Linked DNA regions of Drosophila melanogaster. The protein of the gene in region 2 interacts with the protein of the main gene of each other region in a pairwise test. Each region holds a gene or a part of one and is shown on either strand. Other genes may lie near its edges.

Region 1 (7,362 bases), on a different chromosome or scaffold from region 2:
AGCACGTTGGTCAGCGGCTGATCCGTCTCCTGGTCGCAGGTTTCGGGCAGGTGGCCTTCGGGGGAAGCGCTGCTGACCACAGGCAGCACTACGCTGCTGACTGCCAGGCACATGGTCACTAGCTCGTCTATGTACTGCCTCCACTGAGGCTCTTTCGCCAGTTCCTTGAGTTTGAGTTGCTGCAGCAGATGCCGGCTGGCAAAAAGCAGGCCGTACAAAGGGTTCAGCTTGGCCGCCTCGCCAAGATCAAGCTGGGCGAGACGCAGGCCCTCCCTCAAGTGCTGCAGGCACCACTGCAATGCCCTGAAGGTAAGCGGCTCGTGGATTGTGCCACCGTGCGTTGGCGTGGGCATCTCGCTTTGCACTCGACTGGCTTTGCAATAGACCTGCAGCTGGAAGGCTCCGGTGGCGGAGTCCGATGGCCTGAGGGAGAGCAGCAGCTCGATCATCTCATCCGGCTTGAAGAGGGAATGGGATTGAAATCGCTCCAGCAGCTGAGCGGCCAGCACTTTGTTGTGCTCGTAGCTGTCGCCCAAGCAGGCCATCAGTGCCTCTGTGGGCAGCTCTATTCCCAACTCGCTGAACGTTATGCCCACCATCTCGCTTAACTCCAGGCAATCGCGCAGCAAGCGCAGCGAAAGCCAGCGTCGTCCGTAGTTCGCCGTGGGAAACAGATTCTGCGCGAGAGTGCGGATAAGCCGTATTAGGAACTGGAGCACCTCCTGCGACGCCGGCGTGCGGCTCTTCCGGTACTCGACCAGGCCGAAATGGACTCTCTTGAGGGCCTTCTGCAGCAGACCGTAGCCTAGCTGCCGCAGATGGGCGCTAGGATTGTTGGCATTGTGCCGCACGTAAAGTTCAATGGCGCCCATTTGGTCGGCATTTAAAAGTTCGCTGGGACGCGGCGTCTCCACCAGAAATCGCAGCGCCAGTAGGCGCGTGTGGTCGTCCAGTCCGATGAGGGCCTGTTCCACCTCCTCTTTCATGCCACGCAACAGATTCTGCCGCCTGGCGCTGAGTTGCCTCACGCCCAGAATCGCCGCCAGCTTGCAGCTAAGCGGCAGCCGGTCGTCTGGCAGGAGCACTTGCGCCAGTCTCGTTGGCTCCAGCTGTACGGCCTGTGCGATCAGCTCCTCAATGACCTGGCGGCGCTTCTCCGGCACGCGGATTGCCGCCAAAAGCAGACCGAACCACCGGCTCTGCCACTCGGCGAAGGGTTCCGTCTTGTGGGCCGATACCATCATGGCTAATAAGTATAATAACAAAAGGAATAAGTACACGATTCGAGGCTGCATTCAATGAAGGATACTTGCCTTTGAACAGGGCATCCACACAATCCTCACAGCCCAGATGGCGCGGGAATATGACTCCGAACAGCGAAGGACAGTTCTCGATGGACTTGCTGACTCCGGCCACCGCAACCAGCTGCTCCAGTGCCATGCAACTGGCATTTAGGTATGCAGCACGATCTTCAAACTGGCGATAGACGACTTGGAAGAGCTCCTCCTGGCCGGCGGCCTGGGCGTGCTGCAGCACCTGGTGCAGCAGGGCGCTGCTCATGTGGCGCACGGAGTCCGTGTCACTGGAGATATTCTGCAGGGCGAACACCTGCAGCTGTGCCAAGATCCGTTGGTATAGCAACTTCTGGTCGTCAGGAAGATGGGCGTGCATCTCGCCCAGCGATTTGGAGTAAATGAACAGATGCTTGGAAAGGAAGACAAGCAGATTGGTCACGGTGCTTTTCAGCTCGCTGACGGCCACGATCCTCTTCAGAATAGCCAGTGCTAGTGTAGCGTTTTCTGTATAATCGACGGGCCGCAGGACGAGCAGGGCGGCCATCTGTATGGGAACATCCTGCTCTGCCTTTGGCCTCGAGCAGTCTTCGACATACGCCTTGAATGTTCCGGAAAACCGAGCCAGGTGACCGATCAGCAGGGCGGCAATGGAGCGTACGTCCCACGGAGTGTCGTAGTAGCGAGCCACCTTTTGGGCCACCGCATTCGACGTGCCCGGAAACCGCTGATCCTCGAACAGGCGCAACTTGTCGCTCCACTCGGCCAGCAGACTAACCAAGAACCGCAGCGCATTCTGCACGTACAAGTAGAGCTCGTTGCGACGCGTTGGCGAGAGTTCCAGCGTAGGGTCACTGTCTTAAAGCAAGGTAATTGTGGAGTCAGCATTGTGCGCAGCTATCATATACATTAGATTGACGCACCAAATGTCCGCCCAGTAGCGCTCCAAGGCGGTAGTTAGCAGCGGCGCAAAGCGATGCACCTGTTTGCCCAGGGCCTCCCGTCCAAAGGGAAAGTTCTGCAGGCAGGCGTTGGCGGACACGAAGACATCGTTGGTGCGCTCGTGGCTGACAGGCGGCGTGATCACTGCGAGACTGTTGGCCATTTCGCCGAGCGACTGCTGCAGAGCCTCCAGCAGGTGCTCCTTCGAGTGCCTGCGATGTGGCGACGCATTCTGTTTGGCCAGCGCATTGTCCGAGAAGAGTCTAAATGGGATTGATCATCGGCTATAGGACATCCAGTTGGATCGTGTGGCTTGAGTCGCCGTGGGCTCACCGTACTTGGTCAGCTGGTTGCGCACGGCGTGCTTCAGGGGACTGGCCAGCAGGAGATCCGCCAGGAAGTGGGCTACATCTTCATGATCTTGCGCCTGCTCCCCGTAAAAGACATCCTTGACCACCTGCACCTGCTCCGCACTGCTCTTGGCCGCCGCGAACTGGAGCACAAAGTCATGTGGCGCTGGAAAATGGAGAAGCGATTGGAGCCTCAGCATGCATGTTTATACATAGCTTACTGGTGGTCACTAAGTGACCCACCACAACCCACCGGCAATCCACGTGTTGGGCAGTGGCACAAGGGCGTCGCGCAGCTCGGCAAATCTCTTGGGGTGAGCACACACCTTCAAGGCGGCCACGCGCAGGTTCAGATCGTTCATGGTTCTGTCAGGATTGCGGATAAATAGTAAATATCAGATGGTTTAAATCAGCCACTTTGGTGTTGTCAGTAGAGCTGTGAGCAATTCGATTTCAAAATCGATCTAATCGATATTTTCAGATGGGCGAAGAAATCGATAACATTACTAGGAAATCGATGCTATGTCTATCTATCTTTATAAGGTGACAAATCTAATCTTAAAGTAATATTCCTCAATTAAATTAATCACATTTGTACTGCCCCCTACGTACCAGTGGATTATAAATAATCTATGAAAACATATTGATCTTACAAAATATATTAACATTGCATTTTTTTAGATAACAAAAATTCTAAGCATAAGAGCTGCCTCTTAATTTTTAAGCTGATTAATTGATTTAAGGCCGTTTTTTTCGACTTAATCGATCTTTTTTAGAATCGAAAAGAATCGATTCCCAAGCGGTAATATTGTTTACGACATTAGTTGCCACCTTTACTTATTTACTTACTTTACTTTGTGGAACTAAGTTCCACATCTGGGATGCCAAACACTCACGCTTAGCAAGTACTTGCTCCTCTGCTAACCCAGTGCGCCCATAAATTCTGTGCTGCCACCTTTTCTTCTATCGGAGATACGCGCCGCGACAAGAGTTGCCATCCGCTCTCCTTGCCCGTTACACACAGCACCAACAAAACTTGATACGTATCTATCGATAGTATCGCATGGAAATAGGTCCTAGTTCCACCTCTAATGTGCATTGGGTTATTTATTTTTTTTCCTGTGATTTGTTTATTGAGTGAGCCCTGTACGATGCGATTTTTATGTGCGAATAGTAAATATTTCGGCCCACGGTGCCATCCGATTCAGATGGAAAACACAATTGGTTTCCAATAGGAAAAGTTTGCATCATGTTTTCGTATGCCAAACGCTCGACGTGTGCGTGTGCGTGCGTATGTATTTGTTGGGTGTAAGGTGCATTTGTGTGTGTACGTGAGAGGGGGAGGATTCGTAAAAGTGTTTTTCCTCGTTTTCTCGTAACCTATCTTAAAACAAGCATGTAACATAACTTGCGAAAGCCCGAAAAGCATCTATGAAAATTCGGAGAAATCCACCTGGCTTGGCCGTTTTGCCTGTGTAGTGTGTTTTGTGTGGGAGCGCCAGAGTAAAAGAGAGGGAGTGAGAGTGAGAGGGAGCGAGCGAGAGAGAGGCTTTTTTTTGTTGATACACCGTGAGTGCATGTGTATGTGTGTGTGCGCCTCTTTATTTGTGACGAAATGTGTATAAAATGTTTATGTTTATGTTTTTTCCCGCCCCTCCCGCCACCCACTCACACACGCACACTTCTATGCAAATAGGCGCCGCACAAGTTTGAAGTGAAACGCGATCGGCAAAAACAATAAATCTCACCACAAAGTGGAGCAGCACCCACAAATAAATAAAAACATAAATAAAAGTGCGCCCGCCCGAAAGTAGGAGAACAACAAACGGCTTAGGAAGCATCGCGAAACGTCATTAAAGGTCGGCAGATGGGCGGCCTACGGATTTTCGTGCCCTCCGCTGGCCATTCTCCTCGTGCTTGCTGCTGTTGTTGTTGTTGTTGCGGCTCCCAGAGCAGTTGCAGTTGTTGTAGTTGTTGTTGCTGTTGCACTAGCTGCAGCGGACCAACGGCCACAGCGCAGTGAGAGCGAGCGGGACGGCAAGCGAGCGCCACTGAAGGTGCGAGCGAGAGGTGAGTGACTTTGGCTTTCTAACGGTGGCATCTCCCCCCCCCCCATCAAACGTAACAATAAGAGCGACCGAAAAGGGAAAAGGAAGAGGAAGAGGGAGGAAGACTGGGCTTAGTGGGTGGGAATACAGTAATCACTCGCTTATAGTGATAATATAATTCCGAATTCAATTAACCCGCTACCAGCTAATATCTTTTGTGTGATTTTCTGAATACAGATCTTTTAAAATGTTTTCATAGGTACGAGTTTTTTAAATAATTCCACGCTTCGGAACAATGAAAAATGTTTAACTTTCCTTTTATCCGTTACGAATTTTTCAATGAATATTTCTAGTATGTCATTCTTTTAAGTCCTTAAGAATATAATTTGGTTTAGCTTTGCATCGAATTTATTTATTTATATTTTAAGATAAAGCAAATTTTAAGAAATAGCAAACATTTAAATTGGAGAATGCATTTTAATGAGTTTAGTGAGTTTTTTATGAGTCCTGTAAAATAAAACAATTTGAAATAAATACTTTTTGTAATTGCATACTTATTACTCCTTCAAAACAATTGATTAAATAATAGAATTTCGCGATGTGCAATATGATGTGCATAGTAATTTTTGTAATTATGATTATATATATATATTATTATATTATATATATTATATTTTTATATTATATTTTTATATTATATTTTTATATTATATTTTTATATTATATTATATATATTATATGTCGCATAATTGCGTATCGAAAGCTTTTCAAACATTGTAAATGCGTTTACATATGTACAATATATAGGTTAGTAGTTTGAAGGTTAGTAAAGGTCAAATCTAAATTGTTCTGCATTTCAGTTAAAACCTTCTAGGTCCAGCCGATTATCTTTAAGTCGAGTAAATAAATCCAAATCGATATAAAACAATTCATTCTTTTATTTGAAAATAAGAACAGCAAGTGATGGGTACTCTAAATACTCCATGTTCCAACCGACAGTTTCGAGTTGAGATGCATTCTCTGGCACTCCGCCTCCATTTTCATTTCGTAGCTGGCGTTCCCATTGTTTGTCACGTGCGGCCACTTCAGCTGAATTACAAGGAACCGAACTGAAATGTACCACGGAGCAGAAAGGATGGGGGGGGGGGGGGCAAACGAAAGTGAATGTGTAGGAGGCAGGCCCTTGTTTCTTGGTCTCTTCTCGAAATACTTCATTTATTAACCTCCCTCGTTTACCGCTCCTCTTTCCCGCACAGCCCCACGAAATGGTCTCGAAGAAGCGCTCCAATGCCGCCGAGCGTGTCCAGCGTTCGACGGCGACTGCGGCAGCGGCGGCAGCAGCAGCTGCCGCAGCAGCGACGGCGTCCTCGACGCAGGGCAAGAAGCGGCCCGGGAAACAGACGAAGGCCTCCGGTGGCGGCGGCGACGAGGCGGATGACAAGAAGTCAGCCAGCAAAACAGATTCGGCGGCCAAGAAGCCGGCCAAGGATCCAACGGGATCATCGGGCGTGTCCACAGCCACCACTGAGGGTGGTGCTGGAAATGGAGGCGGAAAACAAACGACCTCCACCACGACATCATCCACATCCTCGACAACCGCCCCGTCCGCATCTGCATCTGCATCTGCTTCCAACAGCCTTAAATTGTCGCCGGAGGAACGACACGAGGATGGCAAGGCGCGGGCCATTAACAAGATGCTTAAGAGCCTGGATATCAAGATCCACGGCTTCGACAACCTGCTGCCTAGCGGCGAAGAGCGGCTCAACGACGGCGTGCTGAAGTCCTCCATTTCGGAGAATGTCAAGACCAAGTCGCGCGCAGCGGCGGTCAAGGTGATTTCCAGCCTGAATCCCGGCAAGATGCCGCCTGTAAAGCGAGTGCGTCCCTCACCGGAGCCAGTTAGAGAAAAAGTTGCGGAGAAGCCGGCAGAAAAGGTACTCGATAAGGAGAAACCGAAGGCGGAGCAGCAGATCACGCCGCCTCCCGCTCCAGAGGAGTCTCCTGCCTCAAAGGTGCCCAAGAAGACGGTGCAGCAGGCCAAGAAGGCCAAGGTGGAGTCATCATTAGTACAGGCGACAGTTTTAACGACAACTTCCGCAGCTACGTCAGCACCCAGCTCCGCTTCCACTTCCAAGCATACATCGACAAAGAATCCTGGCAAGAAATCAGCCCATTCAGAGCAGATGCCAAAAAAGGAGCTATCCAAGCTGGCCAAAATGGGCAAACCGAAAAAGGAAGCCAACTTGGTGAAGAGCACTGCCCGTTTGCCCGACTCAAATACGGAATCTGTGCAAATGGAACTGGAGGAGATTGTCAGTACGCCCACGGTGACGCCGACGCCTTCGGCCACGCCCACGGCGACACCGACACCCACAGCCACGCCCACGCTAACGCCAACGCCCACGGCCACACGGACAAGAACTCCCACGCCGACGCTCACGCCCACGCCTACACCCACCTCGACTCCCTCATCCACTGCCATTGCAGCGGGGCAACCCGCACCACCGCCGCCACCACCAGGGGGAGCACCCAAACAGCGACCGAAGGTGAAGTACACGAAGACATCGGCGGGATCGAAGGGTCGCATGCAACAGGCGCTGAACCAGAAGGCACCGGCTGCCTCATGGAGCGGAGCCAAGGACATATACGACTTCAAGTCGGGATCGGAAGACGAGGAGCCGATCAAGATGGTGCTGCCGTCGCTCAAGGAGCTGCGCGAGTTCTCAGATG
Region 2 (7,362 bases):
CCTCGTCCAGGCATCCACATCCGGTGAGTCGTACAGATCCAGTTTGGGTACCTGAGTGCGATCCTGCTTGCGCTTGTTGCTATTGTAACGCCAGATGGCCAGAGCACTGCCCTCCGCCGCCTGCTCCGGATATTCCATGGAGTCCACAAAGACTTCCGTGCAACCCTGCAGTTGCAATGCCCGAGCTCCGACGCCAGCGGCAACGCGGGCATTCTCCATACCCTCGTCGATATTCTCCAGGTCATTGAAGCCGGCACCTTCTTGGCCCAAACCCACCACAGCCACTGCCCGGAATTCGGCATCCACGTTCATGAAGACCTTACCCTTGCCCAGTTCCCCCTTGATTCCAGTTTCGCGCAACAGCTCCGAGACCTTGCCCTGAGTTCGGTCGTCGAACTTCTCGCCGCTGGACGTCATCTTGACCTCCTTACCGTCGCCCTCCTTGGAGTAGACGCCCACCACCACGCCCTTGATAACAGTCTTGTTGTCACACTTGTCTGCTAATCCCCTCCAGATTTGAGAATCCGCTGGCTGAAGTCTGTGGTTAAAAAGTGGTGTTCCAAACAGATTGTACGATTTCCAGGGTGCCGTGACCTGTTGATATAATCTTGGATTGCGCGTAAAAGCACTGATCATGCGTGTGGATGCCATCTTCGAGATACACGGTGTGTGGTTAGTCCTGGTTAGTCCGCCCTTGCGCACGTCTGGTTAGCTTTTTTAGATCACGAAGTGCCTAACAATTTTGGAATGACAGTTGAAAGTGTGTTCCTCTGTTTGGCCTAAGGCTATACTAACTAGATCATCCAAAACGGAGACAATATCTAACAGGCCCCCTTCGTTTGACAACAATTAATATCAAAGTACCATTTAAGAATCTAATTGAGGCCAGAACATAAAAACCGATCAATTACAATTGTAAAACTTTCGACATACATGTATTTACCCCGAAAAAAGTCATATATATGTATAAACATTTACTCTCCATCAGAGTCGCCTTGATTTGAGGGCTTGAGGCTGCCGAAGACCTTGGCTGGAATGGCCTTTTGTTCGAAGCGCAGTTTCTTCATGACCAGGCCTTCCTCGTCGGTTTTCGTGACCGCTGCACTGGCCTGATTCTCGTTCGTCATCTCGTTCTCCTCATCGTCGTCCTCCTCCTCATCGTCCTCGTCGCTGTCTCCAATGTCGATCTCATCAGGATTGACGACCGTATCCTTTTTATCCTTAGCACCACCCTGAGTCTCACCGCGCACAAACATAATATTCGAGGCCGCCTTCTCGATGGGCTTCTGTTTGGACTCGGCTGCCGCCTGGCGAGCTTTCTCCTCCAGCAATCGCATGGCATCCGGTCCAGCTCCTGCTCCAGCATCCGCAGCCGCTCCGTTGTTTGTGCTCAGGAATTGGGCGGCCATCATGTTCACCTGCGTATTGTAAGTGGCCTGCACAGAGCGCTTGATGCGCAGCATTTCGCGCATTGTGTCTTCGTTGCCGTGACGCACTTCGAACTCCTTCCAAGTTTGCCAAAAGTCTGCAGTGATGCGGGGATCACAAACCTGAAGAATGCAAACAATAATTAGATTAAGTGATGCATTAGAAATCTATATATATTATCATACCTGTGAGCAATGAGCATAGATGGCTCTAGCTCGATCCACTTCGCCCAACTTCGTTTCCAACTCAGCAAACTTAACGCACATGTGGCGCATATTCTGCTCGGGCAGCGATTCGATGGCCTTCTCATAGATCTCGCGGGTACGTGGCAGGCCATAGATCTCGGCTGCCTTCTTTATAAATATGTTGTACATGTCGAACATCTCATCTTCTTTGACAGCAGACGTGGCACGATCATAGACCGACATGGCATGCCGGGCGAGACCGTGCTCCTCTTCCAACTTAGCATACAGTAAATAAAAGTACTTAGCATGCTCGGGAGGACACTGATCCAGGCACTGTTCGAAGAGATCTCTGGCTCGCTCCAGTTTTGTGCCGCCATAGCGCTCCAAAAATTTGGTTAGATAAGAGTTCCAAATGTCGTAGACATTGGGCCACTTGAACAGAGAGATGCCCTTCTCATAGGCTCGGTAGGCTTCCTCAAAGTAGTTGTGCTCCTCGAGGAACATTCCGTAATTGATAATGATCTGTGGCGTACAGATTTTCAGATCAATAATCCGCTCGTAGACGGCTTTGCACGTCTTGAATGTGCCGAATGACTCCTCCAAATCCGCGTACATGGACCACACTTTTAGCGAGCGATGAAGGCGCGCCTGCACCGTTTCCGTATCATCATAATAGGCAATCTTTCGCTTTGGCATGGCCGTCGCCCTTTGCATCAGCTTGAGTGCCGCCTCGAACTGCTGTTGCCGTAACTCCATCTCTGCCCATTCGCACCACACCGCCGCCAGATCCTCTACTTTAACATACTCAACCTCAGTGCCGCGTTCGAAGACCACACGAGCATCCTCCACCTGTCCGTTGGCCTCGTAGAACTTGGCGAACTCCACCCAGAGAGTGTGTAGTTTGCCGACCGCCTGCTTCGGCTGCACTGTTTGCACGGCCTCGGTGTACGTACTGATGATCTCGGCGGGCTTGTCCTCGTACAGTGTCACCCGCTTGTGCCACTCGTGCACGTTGTGCGGATTCTGGCGCAGAAGCACACTATTCAACAGCAGCAAACGGCGCTCCATGAGGTATTCGAAGCGTGAGAGCCGCAGTTCAACGTCAATGTCGTCCTCCTCGGTGGCCGCCTCATTGGCAGCTACCTGCTCCATACGTCTGTTCAGCGAGAGTTCCTCGAACTGTGCGTATTCATCAAAGACTTGGGTGAAGTCTCTTACGGTGGTCACAGTTTGAATGGCTTCCTCGTATATATCTCTTGCCCGATCAAATAAGCCGGAACGCACATAGTAATCCGCCAGAGAGTTCCACAGGTGGCCCAGCTGATCGGTGTAGCGACGCAGCCCACCGCGAATGATGGCGTCCACGTTCAAGGAGTGCACCTTGTGTGGATTCTTCGAGATGAGGTCGCACAATTCGTTCCACAGCTGATGATTGGACTTGCCGTGTTTGGAAACGAAGTGCTCGTTGTCGACGATGTGCGCCAGCTGCTGGGCAGCTTCGTCCAGCCGATCTGCTTCCTGTAGGTAGTCCACATATTCCTCTGTGTCCTCGGGAAAGAGTTTCAGATATCGACGGTAGACTCGCAGTGCTGTTTCCGGCATTTCAAAGCGGCGTACAAACTGCAAATACAGTGGCCAAATCCTGCCGTGCTGCGTGATGGGCAGAGCCCTTAGAGCCCGATCGAAAACGTGCCGGGTGCGGGTAATCTTGCATTGCGAGGTCATGAAGGCACCGTAGTCCATCCAGATACGTGGCATTTTGTGCATAAACACCAGTGCACGTTCGAAGGCACTGTTGACCTCCTCGTACATGGGATCCGTGGGTATCTTGCCGCGCACCTGCTTCCTGCGAGTTCTCAGGTAATTGTGCCAGATCTTATAGCTGCCAGGAAGCTCTTTCAGAGCACGCTCATAGACCATGTTAACACCATTATTCGGCGCCTTCGCTTTGTGATCAATGTAGCGCAGCCAATGTTTTACGGAGTAGGCGTTTCGAAGGATTTCCTCCTCATACGGCACATCCTCCACTTCCTGTGTGTGAAAAACTTGATAGGTTAGTTGTGATTTACATATATTTCATGGTACTTACGAAATTGATCTCTAAATTCAGAGATTTTATCGTTTTTGTCACCATTTTTCGCGATTTTCATGAAATGCCGCAAACAATAATTTTCTCATGCGCGTCCCACGAAAACAGCTGATCGAAATGGCGTTGCCAGAAGGTTTGAAAAGTAGTGGTATTAAGATACCGCAGCTAATACCAAAGTAATTAAATCCTAATTAACATGTAAACAATATTTTAAGAATACAGAAAAATTGTTCATAAAACTAAGATAACTTTGGCTTGTGTACATTTTTTTTACAAATTGTGAACATCTAGAATTTTCTAAGTGCACCTTATTTAAACGTTGAAGTTATGGACAAACCAAAACAATCGTGAATTTTCTAGAGTACCATTGCGGTATATTTTGCCTCCCTTTGAATTGGTATTTCGCCCTTCGTCCGCTGCCCAACACTGGCCTCAGTTTGTGAATTTTTCGTAAGCCCATCTGCAGATGTTTTCGTCGCTGCTGCCAATATTTTGACGTTCATACCGTTTGCGTATTTCGCAGAGACCAGTTAACGCGCTCGTAAAATCGCAAAAAACACACTTAACGCGATCGTTTGTTCTGTTTTTGTAAACACATTGCAATTGGCCTGCATTTTGCATAATTTACGCAACGAAGGCAACTGCGTGAGTGCACCAACACACACACACACACACACAGCCGTGCAAAAGAGAGCCAAAGAGAGTGAGGAGCGCAGGCGAGTTGGCAGCCAAAGGCAAAAAATCAAAGTCTATCGAAAAAAACACTATAAAAATAGATCAAAATGACGCGCTTGAAACATTTCTCAGCATAGAACGACTATCAATCGAATTAAGTTTTAAGTAATACCCAACGACCGTGGAAAAACCAAGCACAGTGGTAAGTAAAAGACGAGGGGAAAACACGAAAAAACACGTCACACGTGTGCGTGTGCTTGCAAGTGTGTGTGTGCGAGCGTGTGAGTGGGTGGGTGTCATAAATATTTTCGCACACACTTGTTCCTGCATTGATTTTATATTTTTCGCACAGGCTCAAACTTGTGTGTGCCGCCGCACTCCAATTGGTCCAGGTAAATCCAATTAGACTGGATCCTAGGTAAAAAAAAACCACCACCGGAAAATCTATTTCCCCGCTTCCCGAACAGCTGTTTATGATGGTTCTCAAAAATTTTCCACTCGCTCTTGTTGCCCGAGGGAAAATTTTGGGCATTTTAGGGCCTCCCGTATTGAATGTAAACAGAAAACACACACGAAAGTGCGGAAAAGCGCTTAGATTTTCCTTGCCGGCTGTGGCCCAATATCTCTCTCTTTGCCACCCCCTCTCTTCGCACTGTTGCCACCCACTAAACTGACACACTAAGCCGCCCGCCAGCAACAACAGCAACAACAAAGGCGGCTAAAACCACTGCAGCTTTGAGCCGCATGCAGCTTTTTTAACTGCCAGCGGAAAAGCTTTATCAATTCAGTTGGCTAAAATCCCAGCAAAGATTCGGGTTTATTTCAAGGAAAACTTTTAATTCTTAAAATTAAAAATGCCCGTTGTTTTCAAATGAGATTTTTTAAAATGATTATTATGTCTAAAAATTGTAAATAATCTAAAAGAGTTGAAAAAACCATAGCATATTCACTTAAAAATAGCTTAAAAACATTGCTAATTATAAAATATCATATTGAGATGACTTCTGCTAACAATATTATATCATATTCAATATTTTGCCCACTGAGAATGAGAATGTGCTGACCACAATTTCCCCTAAGCCACCCACTGCACTTCAACGAATATTCCAGAAACGCTCGGAGAAAGCTTCTCTTGGCCAAAAGCAGCTTTCCTGCCGCTTTTTATAGTCTCATTTATTGATTCCATTCCTCTCTTCTGTTCTTATTTCTACTTGCAGCCAAAGCAACGCATCGACGCATAAACGCTAGTTAATAATAAAAGTGCATAAAATTATTCGTATTCCAACCATCTTCCGTCATCTAAAGTGCTAAAAATTCGTCACCATGTCGCGTTCAAGTAGTTTGTTTTTTAATTCGGCTGCCAAGTTAGAGACTAAAAAACTTAATTGATTCGATCAAGAAAAGTGAGCAACCAGCAGTGAAAATACACAACAGCAGCATAATCACTTTCGAAACCAGTTTTTTCGTAAAGAATCGCGAAGAGTGTTCCAGAAAAGTGCAACATCACATTCCCACACAGTATATGCACACACACACAAACACACTATATATACATATAGGTACATATATAGCAACATCGGAGCATCCAGGGAAACGACCCACAGCACCCACTTCGGTTAATCTCGCTTGGTAATTAAGGGTTCATCGCCTAATGGCAAGTTCGCTCAACAAGACGAGACACAGGCGCAGACTGGCTGCGATCTCGTTCCTATCGAATATCTCGTTAGATGGCACCCATCGGGACACCAAATTCGGCGCAACATTCGGCAGCAGCCTGCTCTGCAACCAGAATAAGAACCCATCCTCGCTGGGACTCGGCTCGGGGGGCTTTCATCCGCACTATCAGCAGCACCACCATCAGCGCAGCCACTCGGCGACGCACCACAACCACCAGAAGCGGCATCACACGCAGCAGCAGCAGCAACAGCAACAACAGCAACACACCCAACAGCAGCAGCAGCAGCAGCAACATCAGCAGCAGCATCAGCAGCAGCAGCAACACCAGAATGGCGCCCTCTGTTCGCCGCTCCTCTGCAGCGCCGATGTCCACATGGGCATCGATGGCGGCATCGGGCTGGGATTGGGACTGGAGGACTGCACCACCGGTGCCAGCGATGGGGACGGGCATTTTAGTGAAACTGAAAATATGGGTCAATACCTGATGAACGTCCTGCCGGCCGCCGATCACAATCGCAGCAGCATTGTGCCGGCCGAGAGACGCAACATAAAGCGCCCGACCTCGTCGGGTCGTCATAACCACCAGGCACCGGGCAATGGCAATATGGGCAATAAGCTCCAACAGCAGCAGCAGCAGCAGCACAAGTTGCAGCAGCAACAGCGGCAGGCACGAAGTTGCGCCGCCGGCAGCGGAGGATCGGGTGCCGAGAGTGGCAGCGATTCGGACAGCGTCAAGATACCGCTCAAGGTGTCCAATCTGGGCAGCGGCGGTGGCGTGGCCGGCGGAGCGGGCAGCAAGCTATTGCCGCTGAGGGAACGGTGAGTAATCAATGCACAATTCATGTTTGTCATATCAGTGAACTATCTTAGCTTATTATGGTTTCTAATCAGCATTTTGTTAAGCAGTTGCTAGAAGTTGTAATCAAATTAGCTGTATGAAGAGGCAACTGTAAAGATTCTTACCATAAGTTTATATAATATTATAAATGTTATATTAGATCGACTATAAGGGAACCTACCAAAATATTCAAACAGGAAATGTGTTAAGTTATTGCAGCTTCAAATTTATGTTTTTCCAATTAAACGATCTTCTATCTTGTAGACACTCAGAAATAGATTGACACGTGACGTCAAGTGGACAGTTTTCCTTAGTCCAATCGCAATATTTTCCAACCATACACGTACGAATGAAATTCGCTTAATATTCCTTTGCTCTTTGTTGATTTATAAATAATTTCTACGCTACGAGAATGAATGAATCATTCCGCTTGATCACTGAACTTTTGTTGAGTTCAATTAAGCTGTCGT
Region 3 (7,353 bases), on a different chromosome or scaffold from region 2:
TCAAATCAGCCGAAGACGATGATCTTGCCAACCCCAAGCGGCGATCGCGATGGCAATGGCTGTGCGCTATTGCGATCGTATCGTATCGGATCGATCGGTTCGAGACTCGATTACAATAATTACAATCGGCTACGCGCGATTCACCAAATCACAGCAACAACCACAGTGGGACATGCACTTCACAGATGCGCATTCAGATGCAAATGCTTAGATACATTTGAACGGGGCTATTAGATCTTAAAGGCTTAAATCCTGTTTTCTTAAATTATTAAAATATAATATAAATAAGTTCCTTTTAGGGAGGCTGCACTGTATTACGTGCATATAAACAATCTTTATAAGAAATTGAAGTCAAGACGCAGAATTAAAACAAAACTCATCAACATCAACGGGCACTGCTGATTGTATGGGTTTGCGTGTGTGTGTGTGTGTGTGTGTGCTTAGGGAGGGGGGCCAGCAGAATGAGGAAGAAGGGGCAGAAGAATCAAGAGGAGAATCGAGAGGAGGCGCAGATCCATCTTCTAGGCTCCATTTGGCAAAGCGAATCGGGCAGAACGAGAAATTGAAAAGACAGTTACAACCTCATAATGAAGTTCGTTCTCCTCTGCATCTTCTCTTGCCCCCCATCCCCCACCCCCTTCTTGTGTCCTCCAGCTACGTATCTGTATCTTTCTCCCGAAGCTTGGTCTTTTCTCTTGGCGACCGAAGACTGCGAAGAAGTTTACAAAAATCCAAAGCAAAACCGCATGCTACACATAAACACACACACACACTCACACTCGCAATTGACGCACACACAGATACATTGCACCCATACATGCGCGTAAATCGTGATGTCGTTGTATATAGGGGAGCATAGCGATTTTGCTGTTGTTGTCTTTGCGAAATTGAGCGATAAATGAGCAGCGAGAACGAGAATCCGAAAGATACGAAATCGAAAGAGAGCGCCAAAGAGAGCGAACTGAAAGTTCATTTCTCGCATGCGATTTTCCAGCGCCTTCAACGGTAGCTGCGCACGCGTTAAAACGATCTTTCAGATACGTCATAAAAGAAAGATGTTTATTATGAGCAAAAAGTTTGGGTATGCCTTCTGTGTTGAATATTAAATGAAAGCTGGTTTTTATTAAAGAGAGAGAGATGCTTTGTAGTTCAGTTTAAGCAATGCAGTTTATAAATACAAATCAATTGGAAATCATATATTTATAAGCATGCCTAAAGGTGTAATTGCTAATAGCGATTCTTTCTTTTGTGTGGACGTAACCAAATGAAGTAAACTGGCCAAATTAATGGTTTCCGCTTTGTATCTCAAAAGAGCTGCTTTGATTTTCTTCTAGCGTTGTCCAGCACTGCGAGTGCAGCAGATGCAACTTGGTGCTGGGATGCATTCACTTGTGGCCAAAGGCGCTGCTCACACAGATACCCACCGATGCAGTGCCCCCGCACTCGCACTGGCACTAACACACACACACCTACGTACTGGGGATCGGTGGCAAAGATGCAAGATGCGCTCGCATTGCAACTGGCTTTTGGTCTATAATTCTTGTTTCTGGTTTTCGTGCTGCCAAGATAAGGAGTGGGACATGGCCAGCACACAGCCTCATCGTTATTACGTTCCTCTGGCGTATGATGACGGTGGTGCTGCTGATGATGATGTTGCAAATGATAATGATGACGGAATCATCATCTTGCTCTGGAGAGGAGGACAGGAAACTGCAGCAGCATGGCGCTTTGGCTCCCAAAGGAAGCTGACCAGTAATATTTACATTTATTGCTAAATTATGCACACTTTTTTGTGCCGTACTCGGGTATTTTTATTTGCAGGCCCATCTTTTTCACGAATAATTATTCAGTTGATAAGTCATATCTCTTGCATTTTATATCTGATTTGGACATAGTCCGGTCTTTGTGTTTACCCCGAAGTCAATTGCATATTTTAGACCACTTCAGTGCAGTTACTCCTTTGATAAATACGAGCAATTTGGGAAAAAAGGATTGCAACACATCCTTCGCTGTTAAGTGGAGAAATATGCAGATTCCAATTAATCACAATACCACTGCATTTCTTTATATCATATATTCCGTGATAGATTTTCCTAACCATAGTATATAATCATCTAGAAATTGGACAATCATGCCCGCTTTGTTTTCTACTTAAATGTAAACAACGCCATTTATTAATGAGTTTGTAATTTGAATAAAATTCATGACGTGAGCCCATTTCTATGGGGTCGCAGCACAATCTCTGCGGTTTTCCACGGTGAAAAGCGTTGCGATTGCTACTAATGGCCGGAGATTTTCATGGAAAGTTGGTGCGGTTGCTGCTGCTTTTTCTTGCTTATGAAAATTTCACGCCAGTCGAAAAGAATTATTAATTGCGCAGCGGCAACGGGAACAACAACAACAACAACATTTAGCCACCACCGCAGAGGAAAACAACAACAACAACAACAACCGCACACAAATTTCAAAAGTGGGAATTATGCATCGCTGCGCAGAAGCAGAACTCTAAAAACGCACATAGGGAAAATCCGGGGGTAAATGTATCTGCATCTGTATCCGTGGAAGTATCTGTATCTGTGTGCCTGTAAGCGCGTGTAAAATATGGTAAACATGGAAATACGTAATAACTGAAAAAAAAAAAAACAAGAAAACCAGACCAACAGCTACAAAAAGAGTGTAACAAAAAAGGGAAATATAAAATCAGGTACAAATTTTCACCAAAAACAAAAAAAAAAAAATAGAGTTTACATCGCTCTGTCGACGTCGACAGTGCATTGTCATTATTGGTTGCCATAGGCGTCGAAAAGGGGGTTCCCCTTTATGGAACTATCACCTCTAAGCTTACAATCCAAGCATTGTAATGGAGTTTAGTGGGTTCTGATTAATTTGAAGGGTAGTAAAGCAGCTTTATGACAATTATTGGTTGCTTCATTACTACCTTGCCCACATTCTGAGCCCCCCTAAAATTGCGGTAAGCCGACGCCCCTACTCCTTGGCTGTTGTAAAAGCTGGCTTGGGCCTGACTTTGACGATTTCGTGGTCACACAGTGTGAAGAATGGCTAGGAAATATTGTATGCACCGTTGTTTGGTGGGCTGTTACCGATTTACAGATTACTGAGCCAGATAACAAATGAAAGTGCCCTGGCATTTGCTTTTTTTTTTGTATTTTTAAGTTGCTCCGCTGGTTGGACAGGAAAGAAACCCAGAAGGAGGCGATCGTTACAACAATAGAGAAAAACGTTGATTCAACCTTTTAGCTGTGAAGAATAACAGCACTTTGGGTGGGTTTTGGTTTACATATGCTTTATGGAGAAAGATCACCGATAAGAATCTGGCTAAGCTGGGCTTGATGTGGAAGAAAGTCTGTGCTGGGATTTCTAAGCATCCTGCCTTCTCTGTAGTTCCAGAAACTAACTTTTTTAATACTGCTTACACAAGGGAGAGGGGCTTAGATGTTTTCCAAATAGTTTAGCAGAGCTTTTAAGTGCATTTCGATCGATATGTATCTTAATTAGTAGGTAAAGGTTGCTCTTGCCGGCTTTGTGTGAAATGTCATTAAAAAATTGTTGTGAAAAAGCTTATACTTTTACACATTTCAATATTTCCAAACAATTACATATTTTCTTCGCAATGACGATTTTTTGCCATCAAAGGAGGAAGTCTAATATTTTGCCATAGGTGAGTACAGTAAAGATAGATTCCTAAGTGTTAATCTTTCAATTGATAATGTATATTGTTATTACTGCATTTAAGCCATTCACTTGATCCGTAATTTTGCATGTGATGGTGTTATATTTAAATTAATATATAATAATTAAAATATTAACTTACCGCAACACACGTGATTTCATTTCGACAGAACATATTTCCCCAAGTGGTGACAACCCCAGTCGACAGAGCTTTCCAACACTGGTTGCGTTGACATTGTAAATAAATCGTTTTGAGAGATAAAGCTGAATCCGACCGAAAATGGCCAACAAATTCAGGAGTCTGAACAGCAAACTTTTCCAGCTGGCCATGAGCGGCATCCAGCGGACATCGGTGCGTCCGCGGATAAGTTTTCCGGGTCGTGGAAGCGGCTTTACTGGAAATCGCAAGCTGCTGGGAGCCCTGGGAGCCCTAACCGGAACAGCAGGGCTGCTGATCTACGCCCTGGAAACCAGCGTGGATGCCTCCTCGGACTGCGTGCATCCGGCCCACCAGCACTGGAATCACAAAGGGCTTTTGTCCGCCTTGGACAAGGAGAGCGTGCGTCGAGGTTACACCGTTTACAAGGAGGTCTGCTCCTCCTGCCACTCATTGCAGTACATGGCCTATCGCAACCTGGTGGGAGTGTGCATGACGGAGGCGGAGGCCAAGGCCGAGGCGGAGGCCATCACGGTGCGGGATGGGCCCAACGAGGAGGGCGAGTACTACGAGCGTCCCGGCAAGCTGTCCGATCACTTCCCCTCTCCGTACGCCAACGAGGAGGCGGCCCGTTCCGCCAACAATGGCTCCTATCCGCCGGATCTCAGCTATATTGTGTCGGCTCGCAAGGGCGGCGAGGATTACGTGTTCTCCCTGCTCACCGGATACTGTGATCCTCCGGCTGGTTTTGCCCTTCGTGATGGACTGTACTTCAATCCGTACTTCTCGGGCGGAGCGATTGCCATGGGCAAGGTAGTTGACAATGAGGTGGTCTCCTTTGAAGATCCAAATGTGCCTGCTTCGGCCGCCCAAATTGCCAAGGATGTGTGCGTCTTCCTCAAGTGGACTTCAGAACCGGAGACCGACGAACGTCGCCTGCTGCTCATCAAAGTTACTCTGATTTCGACCTTTTTGATTGGCATTTCCTACTACATCAAGCGTTTTAAGTGGTCAACGCTCAAGTCTCGCAAGATCTTCTTCATTCCCGAACTGGAGGCCCAGGCCAAAAGAGAGGCGGAGGAGGCCGCCAAAGCAGCGCGCAAGGCCAAGGAGCAGGAGTGCAACAAGTGCGAGAACCAGAACGAGAAGAAGGACTAAGTTTGGTGAACTGTTTAAATAAAGGTTTTTGAATTTAAATGAATGCCGCGCTTTTTATTTATCGATAGGTTTTCCAGGGCCTAACCATCCGCGCTGTAAAGCACCAACAATTGCTCTGTTATAGATTCTTGCCGGTCTGTTAAGTCAGCTGTTATGTTAAAAATGTAAATAAATGCAAAAAATAAGGTTTAGACTTTAAATTTGAACTAAAGGCCCGTTCATTTAATTATTTCTTACAACAATGGCCACATATCCATCTGCCAAATTCATGGAGTGCCTCCAATATGCAGCTTTTAAGCACCGGCAGCAACGTCGCAAGGTAAGCTTATTAAAACGCAACAAATGATATATTTAAAACATGAATACTATCTTTTTTACATTTCAAGGATCCTCAGGAAACCCCCTATGTGAACCATGTGATCAATGTGAGCACTATTCTCTCCGTGGAGGCCTGCATCACAGATGAGGGAGTCCTAATGGCTGCACTTCTGCACGATGTCGTGGAGGATACGGACGCATCTTTCGAGGATGTTGAGAAACTCTTTGGACCGGATGTTTGTGGACTAGTGAGGGAGGTGACGGACGACAAGTCCCTGGAGAAACAGGAGAGAAAACGCCTGCAAATAGAAAATGCAGCCAAAAGCAGCTGCAGAGCAAAGCTCATAAAGCTGGCTGACAAATTGGATAACCTAAGGGATCTGCAAGTCAACACACCGACAGGGTGGACACAGGTATTTGGGCCCATCTTGGTTTGAAAAACGGAACCTTATGGATCACATATTTTCATTCCAGGAGCGTCGTGATCAGTACTTCGTTTGGGCCAAAAAGGTGGTGGACAATCTGCGAGGAACCAACGCCAACCTGGAGCTCAAGCTGGACGAGATCTTCCGCCAACGCGGCCTTTTGTAAACGATCAAAAACCAACAAATTACAGATGAACCTGTTCAATTTTTATTGTTCTTGTAAAAGGCCAGCATCAGATTGGCCAACTGTTGGGTCTCCGCCAGCGTTACAGCATTGTAGAGGGAGGCTCGAATGCCGCCCACCGACCGATGACCCTTCAACTGAATCATGCCCTCGGCCTCGGCTTTGCTCAGGAACTCCTTCTCCAGGGCATCATCTCCACTGGCACTGCCAATACGGAAGGGCACATTCATGCGCGAACGCACATTGACATCCACTGGGCAGTAGTAGAAACCATTCGACTGGTTGATCGTGTCGTAAATCAACTTGGACTTGGCTGCCGCCAGCTTGGCCATACCAGCGACTCCTCCGTTCCGCTTGATCCACTTGAAAACCAGGCCCATCACATAGATGCTGCAAGGGGAAAGTTTAACAAAGAATTCACCAGCCATGTATCATTCTGGGCTCACCCAAAGGTCGGCGGAGTATTTAACAGGGAGTTGTTCTTGTCCATCTGCTCAAAGTTGAGGATGGAGGGCGTAATCTTCAAGTGCTTGCCTATCAAATCGTCCCTGACAATGATCACCGTGGTGCCCGCTGGTCCGATATTCTTCTGGGCTCCCGCATAGATAACGCCAAACTTGGAGACATCGAAGGGACGCGACAGAAAATTGGAGGACATATCGGCCACCAGTGGCACACCGGCTGGAACCTCGGGCACAAAGTCGAACTCCACGCCCTCTACGGTCTCATTGTCGCAGTAGTAGACATATGAGGCATTTGGGTCCAGCTTCCAGGTCTCCTGTCGTGGAACAGTTGTATACTTTGCCAACTTGGGCAGCACCGCGTTCACAGTGCCGTACTGAGCCGCCTCCTTGGCCGCCTTGGCCGACCAGGAGCCGGTGATTACATAATCAGCAGTGCCAGTCTTGCCAATCAAGTTCAGAGCCACTGCAGCGAACTGTCCGGTGCCACCGCCCTGCATCAGCAGAATCTTGTAGTTACTGGGCACATTGAGGAGTTCGCGAAGATCGCTGATGGTCGCATCATGGATCTTGGCATAGTTGCTGGAGCGATGGGACATCTCCATGACCGAGATGCCGCTGCCATTGCAGTTGACAAGATTTTCCTGCACCTCTTTCAGTACCTATATATGCAGATAGAGATAACCATGTAATCAAGGTTACTATTACACGTCACGTGTGTGGAGTGGTGCCACCCATTTCACCGACCTCTTCGGGCAACTTGGCTGGACCGGCGGCGAAGTTGATAACCATGCTGATACTATGTAGTGCGTCTGCGATCTATGAACCTCTCCGGGAAGCGGCTAAATATTGACTAAAGTGTTGAGCAGTCCGTGCGAGTATTCGCAATCGCTGATAAACGAGACGAAGGCGGGCACAGAGAACAGCAACAAGTCACCGGACAGTAAACAAAACGCGTGC

Evidence for each region.
Region 1: the proteins of fand (region 2) and THADA interact in a two-hybrid assay, tested with the Drosophila melanogaster proteins (one large-scale study listed by BioGRID).
Region 3: the proteins of fand (region 2) and Cyt-c1L interact in a two-hybrid assay, tested with the Drosophila melanogaster proteins (one large-scale study listed by BioGRID).

The regions. Positions count from the first base shown.
Region 1 is NC_004354.4:19,862,513-19,869,874, forward strand, and holds the start of THADA (THADA), read right to left. Parts: upstream 3,013-7,362; 5' UTR 2,947-3,012; coding exon 2,838-2,946; intron 2,751-2,837; coding exon 2,573-2,750; coding exon of another isoform or gene 2,568-2,572; intron 2,498-2,567; coding exon 2,216-2,497; intron 2,151-2,215; exon of another isoform or gene 2,147-2,150; coding exon 1,314-2,146; intron 1,247-1,313; coding exon 1-1,246. Other genes in the region: Hers (histone gene-specific epigenetic repressor in late S phase), read left to right, coding at 5,898-7,362. UniProt on the Drosophila melanogaster protein: Together with methyltransferase Trm7-32, methylates the 2'-O-ribose of nucleotides at position 32 of the anticodon loop of substrate tRNAs. Plays a key role in energy homeostasis by regulating the balance between energy storage and heat production.
Region 2 is NT_033778.4:13,590,111-13,597,472, reverse strand, and holds fand (fandango), read right to left. Parts: upstream 3,830-7,362; 5' UTR 3,748-3,829; coding exon 3,703-3,747; intron 3,645-3,702; coding exon 1,614-3,644; intron 1,551-1,613; coding exon 975-1,550; 3' UTR 916-974; downstream 1-915. Other genes in the region: S-Lap5 (Sperm-Leucylaminopeptidase 5), read right to left, coding at 1-651; CG45088 (uncharacterized protein), read left to right, coding at 5,701-5,766; CG6191 (uncharacterized protein), read left to right, coding at 6,029-6,873. UniProt on the Drosophila melanogaster protein: Subunit of the NTC(Nineteen)/Prp19 complex, which is part of the spliceosome. The complex participates in spliceosome assembly, its remodeling and is required for efficient spliceosome activation. Essential for efficient pre-mRNA splicing.
Region 3 is NT_033777.3:29,200,353-29,207,705, reverse strand, and holds Cyt-c1L (cytochrome c1-like), read left to right. Parts: upstream 1-3,572; 5' UTR 3,573-3,679; intron 3,680-3,860; 5' UTR 3,861-3,970; coding exon 3,971-5,005; 3' UTR 5,006-5,046; downstream 5,047-7,353. Other genes in the region: Mesh1 (metazoan SpoT homolog-1), read left to right, coding at 5,247-5,324, 5,392-5,736, 5,798-5,914; CG11899 (uncharacterized protein), read right to left, coding at 5,950-6,322, 6,379-7,055, 7,141-7,185.